Linked DNA regions of Saccharomyces cerevisiae S288C. Changing the gene in region 1 together with any one later gene gives a genetic interaction. Each region holds a gene or a part of one and is shown on either strand. Other genes may lie near its edges.

Region 1 (3,634 bases):
GGAGTGAAAGCAACGAAAGATGGGGTGACTCTGTTACCTTGTTCGTTGGCAATAATTTCAACGGAGGATTCGTAAGTAGCAACACAAGAGTAGGTTGTACCTAAATCGATACCGATAGCACCTTGGAAAACACCTTCAGCCATTTTGTTCAATTAAAATACTGTAATGATCTTGGGACATCTGAAAATCCAAAAGCAAGAAACATTTTTTAAAGAAGGAAAAGCAAAGCGACAATAACTAATTAATCTTTATATAAAAAGAGATGAGTACTACAAAAGAAACGTCGAGCGAAGATGAAAAATTTTTCTTTTTTTTTTTTTCAGTTGCGTGCTATAAAAAAAAAAAAAAAAAGATTCATCCATACTTCCCGTTCGAAATGATCATAAATAACTGCGGTGTATGGGCTATGTTCCCATGACAACGAAGCTAGAATATAATTATAAGGATGAATAAGTATTGTTATTGAAAAAATGCACAATTAGGAACTTTTATATAGCTGTCTATTGGTTCACGGAAAGACTGTTAAGATACTTGGCAGCATGGTAGATAAATAGGAACTGATCCTTTGTCTGAACCATTTTCATTCTTTGCGAGCGCAACTGTAACACGATCTGTTCGATCAAGTCCCGTGTGTACTCCTCTGTAGCCCTGTCTGAATGCCTTGACCGTTCTGTAATATTTTTAAAATCCAAGGTATCATGCATGAGATGATCTAGGGCAATGAACGTCCCCGTTCTGCCCACGCCTGCGGAACAGTGTACGATAATGGGGTTCCCGCGGGAATTCAAGCTGTGGGAGTGAGCGCATAATTCCATTATGGGTACTACTTCCTCTGGCTTGTTCATATCTTTCCAAAGGTCGAAGTAAAAGTGGTGAACAGTTTTGACAGGTCCTACAAGAGGGTCCGTGGGTGTGAGTTTGATATCGGTGACCGTATAATAGTCCTTCACCTTATGTACGTTAACAAACTCTATTTTCAAATCAGAGGGAAATTGAGTCATATCATTGGCGCCGCCCGGACTTTCCCATTTTGATGCTATTCTAACCGTATCGTCTACACCACCGCGAGGCCAGTACTGGTAGCACTTCTCCCTATTGTATTCTACCAGAGGCGTGACCATCACAATGACAATATTGTCTAAAGGACAATTGTGATAGCACATTTGCCAAAACTGATCCCAAGTTTTACGCGTGGGACCTTGAGTAGCAATATAGTAGCCCGGTTCGATGCTCTGCCCTGGCACGTTCACTTTGACATACGAGGCATTAATGTAATCATTCCCGGATAGAGTCTTCAAATGAACGCGGTTCCTCTCATACGGCATAATGTTAACGTATCTGTTTCTAGCATCGTTACGAGGTTCTATGCTGACCCCCAACGACCATCGTGAATTCACCGTTCCGTTTGTAGCTTCCCTTAATCTGCCGTCTTCTTGATTCTGTATGAACTTGAATTTACCCAATAAATCCGTGTCACGCTGTCTAATATACCATGGTGCAGCTGCCATCTCCACTGTCGCAAACTACTACTAACAAACGCTTTTCTTGATAACTCCTCGATGAACCCTTTTCCTCAATAAAATGTAAATATAGTTTGCCTTCCTCTTAATAGTGTGTACAAATGAATTTTTCTAATACTAAACGCCCTAAAAATGACCTAATTAAATATTACGTTAACCTAAAAAAGTACAAAGAAAAAAATGGAACACCTACAAATTATAAACAATAACCCTGTCGCCCAAAGTTAGGTTTCCGATAAGACTTTTCAGTGAACAAAATCTGGAAATGAAAGGCGATATAACATTATCAAAGATGATTATGTATAGATTGCGTGAAATACGCGCAGGAAAACGAGTTTAAGCGTCACTAACACTTTAATCAATTTAAAGTTCATTTTTAACTTGCTTTGTGCTCCACTAAGGAAAGCATGTACAGTATAGTGCTGGAATTGTAACAGGTCCTCATGAAAAGATATGAGCGAGATCGAAGTCCCACTCCTGATCCTGATATTGTGAAAGGTTCATACTCTCAAACATCACTCAGGTCACTACATGAACTTAACTATAAGAATCCTGCCGGTATAAGCGGGCTTAGCTTTGCAGGAAGCCCACAACAATCCGTGGCATCCTTATCGCAAATGCGGCTGGAAAATTTGGTTAAGGACAAACACTGGGAGGAAGTAGAGGACTTTGGGCTGGAAGAGCTGAGAGATGGGTTTTTTGATGCTGCTTTTACCAAGCCGGACAGCAAAGCTAGGTCTCCTAACAGCGACATCGATGACGACAATGGCGCTGCAAGGAAAAAACTGCAATCTGGTTTTACCAAGCTTTCCGAATATGTTTGGACTGCTATCTACAGGCCCATTATTCATTTCCCTAGAGATATTAGAAAAAATGGGGTATCCATATTCAAGTTTTTTATTGCTTATTTCATTGCTATCGTGATTTGCGTTATCAGGCCTTCTGGTAGGTGGATTGGCCATGAGTTCAGGTATTTTCTACCCATCGCAGTACTTATACATCATCCGGTCAGAAATATTGGTGTTCAACTGGAAATGACTATAAGCTCCATTATCGGCGCAAGTTTTGGCCTGGGATGGTCGGCTTTGGCATGGTACATTTCCACAGCGACAAAGCCGACCGCAAACTACCAGGGAGGAATTTTATTTCAGAGTCTGACTATGGCCCTCTTATTTGCCATCTGGCTAAGGTCTGTTTACCGTCGGTTCTTCTATTTCACAACTTCGTTTTCGATATCGATTATATTCACTCATACAGTTCGGTTGGCCTCATCCAAGTTTGATTTGAAGTGGCAAATTTTTTGGGATTTTGGAATCTCATATCTCTTCGGCCTTTTGCTATCTCTCTTGGTTTGTGTATGTGTATCACCACATAGTGGCAATGCAGAGTTAATGGAACATTATAACAAGTGTCTACAGACCACAAAGACCTTTTTAATGGCACTAGTAGATACTGAATTAATAAAGTCCAAAGAACAAATTTACCTAGCCCAAGTAAAAATGGTGAAAACACTAAACATTGATTTATCTCAAGGTTTTAGAGATTTTGTAAATCAGTTGACAATTTCCAGGTTTGACCTTCAATCGTTGAAGAGTTTAAGAAATTCTTTAACTGCCATGGAAACTTCTCTGAGAGTATTACCCATTGCACCCAAAATTTTTAATGATGATGAATTGAAAAAGATGTATGAAGAATTGGAGAAGTATAGATCGGATTCTGCGACCCTGAGCAAAGAAGCAAGCGCTAGCCCTCAATCTTCAGGAATTCCAACAAGAGAAAACACGCCCAGTGCCTTTAAGCCTATCGGTCCGGGGCTTTTAAAAAATGAAATCTACATTAATGCATTAAAGGCGTCCTTCTCGAAAAGCATCTTCAACTTAATACTGGAAATGATCTTCGTTTTGGAAAATCTATCAAGAGTACTAAAGAAATACGAGTCTCCAAATCAAAAAAACAACTTAGATGAGTGTGTCAAAATATTAAGTCACTCGCATTCTAAATTAAAGAGGAAAATTTACAAACTAGATGTTTGTTACAGGGATTTTGTGAATTCTAGTTTTTTTTCACAGGAACTGTTGAATGACGAAGAGTCTGTCGATATTTTCCTTTTTCTA
Region 2 (4,142 bases), on another chromosome or scaffold:
GTAATTAAATAATCAAATGTCTATAATCTCCCTGAGTTGCCTCTTTTTCTATACTCAATTGGGTAATTGACGCGAAACGCGTTAAAGTGCAAAAAAAGGCCTGGAAATTATATTTAACGCAATGAAATATTTTCATAATATGACATTCATGCACAGCTGTATTCATTCTTCTACTTTGTAGTTTGTTATTCTTCTTTATCGGTTTCGTTTTACAAAAGATTTTAGCAAGGAAGCAGTTTTTAAACCAATCAATGGTATACACAACACCGCAACAACAGCAGAGATTCAGCTCCACACCGCAATCTAGCCACACTCTTATCTTCTCGCCAATCAGAGCCCCTTCAATGCAAACGCCCTCCTCATTGGATTACCAATCACCTTCAATTGTTGTGTCATCGTCTTCAATGAAGGTTCACGGCCGGTCTTCCAGTTTCGGTAAATTTTCACTGTCTATTGGGCAAAATGGTAAGGCTACAATACTGGGGCCTATAAACGTCCTTCCCACTGATACATCGAAAATGGAGAAACCTGTACCAAAGAAAAAGCCTGTTACTTCTGACCGTGTCGAAAAGACTCGTATATTATCTTTGTTGAAAAAAATGAGAAACAAGAGCAGTACTGTCAACAAAAAATATAGTAAAGTACCATTAAAGTCTACGACAAGTTTGCAACCAGCAGCTACTGCACCTTCACCACTAGTGTCCAACATCATAAAGCCGTCTCCCAAAAAGTTAGCTTCCCCAAGAACTCCGAATGCAAACTCCAATTTAAATCTAAACTTTACTTCATTTCAGATTAAAACAGGTTTCACTCCCAATCTCGATGGAATTTTACTTGAAAACTTCACGTCTCCTAACACAACCGCTGATTCACAGGGTAATTCCGCCAGTAACATCATAAATAATAATCACGGTAGCGCAAATAATACCAACCAATTTCTTTTTAATCTACCACTTCAATCATCACCAAGGCAATTCAGGTCTCCTGCAAGATTAATAGATCCCCTTCCCATATCGGACTGGAACACCAGTCTCTTGATGTCACCCCCAAGAACGACGAATTTTGAATCTGCAAACAATCACTTCAATTCAAATTTTGCTCAAGCATCGATGTTAAGACGCCCTTCACTACCGCACATAGATGAGGTGATTCCACAGGACTCTAATCCAGCCAATTACTCAGATAGATCGGACTATCTATCTGTGGACCAGAACGCCAATAATCATAATGGTGCACTTTCAGAACAGACCTATAATAATATAATGAAATCTTCTATGATTTCGTTACCTATAGAAAAAGATGATGCCACAATGGCACTACGAAAACTTGTCTCCAGAGAGTAGGTCCATTTGGTTTTCGTAAAATACACTACGTAAGATTTCATTATATATTCAAAACCGAAGAACTTTATTTAATTAATTCTATTCAATATTTTTTTTTTCCCATTAAATTGTGTAGTGGAAGCAAAATGCACTGCGCTTATGTGAAAAAGTTACACAATAGGGAATACATGGAACAGCAGATCAGAACTGCAACCCTACAGATTAGATATGGAGAACGACAAGGCGTCACATGCGAGCCCAAGCATTGGAGTGAACGAATTTGTCGTTCAAGGGGAGATATCCATAGACGACTCCGAAAGGTCTGTCAAGAGTGTTAGCGTTAGCATAAGTGATGATGAGGATAGTAAGACAGATGTACAAGATAATATGGCCACACCGTCCACAAGATCGAAATTTCAAACAGATCTGGCCATTGATAATAGGCTATTGGAAAAAGATCCAAAGTACAAAAAACTTTTCACTGAAAAAAGAAGACGTCGAAGACCAGAAAGCTGTATTAACCTCATGACTAAAGGTAAGGGCACTGGACAAAAAGATAACATTAATGATCAAATTTTCAGCCTAAGAATATTACCAGGCTCCGATTTAAACTCTTTAAAGGATTCTTTATGGATAATAAAGATCTCTACCCAGCCAGATGTTGAAAAAACAATCGCAAGAGCTTTTTCTGATTTCTATTGGTTATATCATCAATTACAAAATAACCACTGGGGAAAAACGATTCCTCCGCCTACAAGGTCCAACATTCTTGTAGAGAAGGACGAATTTGCCATAAATCATCTTTTTATGATACGTAATAATGAGAAGTATGATCCAATTTTTAATTTCAAACCGGAATATATCATATCATTGCAATTGATGGCAATGATTAAGCACATATTCAATGACAAGGTTTTACGTTTGGATTCAAATTTCATAGATTTTATTAGTTGGGATGACGATCTTCCTGAAAGTTTGCAAATAGTAGTCGATGACAGTACCTTCACAGGGGATAAAATACTAATGACATCTTCTCAATTTCGAGAATTAAAAGAGTTTCATAAACAATCAAAAAAAGTGGAATCAATAACAAATTCACATGCTTCGTTAATACCCGTAACAGAACTTACCGAAATATATATAAGCCCGACCAAATTATTCTCTAGAAAAGACTACCAAAGGCTTTTTCAACCTCAAAGCACAGACAACACCTTTAATAACAATGACCCGTTGATTCAAGAGTGGATACCAAAAAGCAAAACATTATTCACTAGTTTATCCTTTGGTTCAAGTGCACCTACTTATCAAGAAGCGTCAACTGAGATACAGGCATGCCATGACTGGGTAAGCATATCCAAGGAGCAATGGAAACAGTTACTCTACCATGTATTACAGTACATTGTAGACGAGGCAGTGAAGGTGAATTCTGTGATAAACGAATTTACTGAGTGTCTTAAGCAAATTTCTTTGGACGAAGTCATTAGAGCAAACTCTGAACTATTTTTGAAATTTTCCAAACTGAATGAATCCTTTCTAAAAAAATTCAAAGGTGCATCGAGGCAAGACATTCTGAAGCTAATCATATTATTTGATGAAAATGTAAGATTTTGCGAATCATTTGAATCCATCTTAAATCAAAGATTGAAGCTTGGTAAAATTCTAAGCATCATAGAAGTGGATCTAGACAAGAAGAAAAACTTTCTTGACAAACTATCTCCGGGAAACAACAACAGTAACAATGAAGACCTTAAGATACGCACGGCAGAGGATGAATACCGCATTGTATTAAAAAGATATAACCGTGTTAAGCAGAGCTGGGAGAAAATTATGGAAGATATCTTAAATGAACGGAAAGAATTTGAGAAGAGAGAAGCCGCCGAGGTTAATAGTTGTTTAAAATCAATAAGAGATTTGAACATGGATGAAAAGAAACACTATTTACAATTATGGCAAGACTTTGTACCAGATGAGCACATAAGCCAATGAATATGTACATAATAACGTAATTAAAGAAGATAATTTACTACTGAAAAAGCAACAATATAAGAAGTTAAGATGAATTATACTAATTTTTCTTGTGTTTCTTAAGTTTGACTTCCAAATCTTGTACGCTTTCAACGTCATCAACATCTTCTTCTTCTTCCTTTTCTTCAACAAATGCCTTATTCAGCAGTGGAAAAATACGCTGCTGTTCACCAATTTTCTCATAATCAACGATCATACTGTCGAAAGCAAAACAAAATTCTCTCGCCATCACATCAATATTATTGTCTAATTGGGGCAATTTGGGATATCTCTGGGAAAAGTGTGTTAAGATCAACTTCCTAGCATTCATTTTGTTCGAAACACCGATTGCTTCATTAATAGTGCAGTGTTTTTTCTTCACGGCATCCTCCAGTAGCTGATTTTCTAGTGTAGCTTCGTGAATTAATAGATCTGAATTATAGCCTATTTCGAGGGAAAATTTCTCGATGTTAGGTCTTGTATCGCCTGAATATGAAACCTTGAATGTATTATGCTCATTGTTTTCGTCCATTCGGAAGGTAATTGAGTTCGAATATGCCCAGTCACAATGTATAGCTCTGCAAGTTTGAAAATATTCTATCGATAAATCCTCATACATTTGTCTGATCAAGTCAACATCCCTATATGAAGAATCTCTATCCAGTTCCAGTTTTCTGTTTGATTCTTGATTGCTATTTTCTTTCAATATTTCATTGAACTCTGCCAAAGGAACAGATTGTGTCTGCATTCTTACAAACGAATCATTGATGAAATGCTCACAACTTATGTATTTGATTCTCTTTAAAATCTCTTTAT

The links.
Region 2: mutations in PTP1 (region 1) and VPS501 together harm fitness more than expected from each alone (negative genetic interaction), as found in Saccharomyces cerevisiae (2 studies listed by BioGRID).

What each region holds. Positions count from the first base shown.
Region 1 is NC_001136.10:40,574-44,207, reverse strand, and holds PTP1 (tyrosine protein phosphatase PTP1), read right to left. Parts: upstream 1,509-3,634; coding exon 501-1,508; downstream 1-500. Other genes in the region: Hsp70 family ATPase SSB1, read right to left, coding at 1-143; BRE4 (Bre4p), read left to right, coding at 1,964-3,634. UniProt on the Saccharomyces cerevisiae protein: Is not required for vegetative growth.
Region 2 is NC_001143.9:583,402-587,543, forward strand, and holds VPS501 (sorting nexin family protein), read left to right. Parts: upstream 1-1,550; coding exon 1,551-3,308; downstream 3,309-4,142. Other genes in the region: MSA2 (Msa2p), read left to right, coding at 252-1,343; TRZ1 (tRNase Z), read right to left, coding at 3,388-4,142.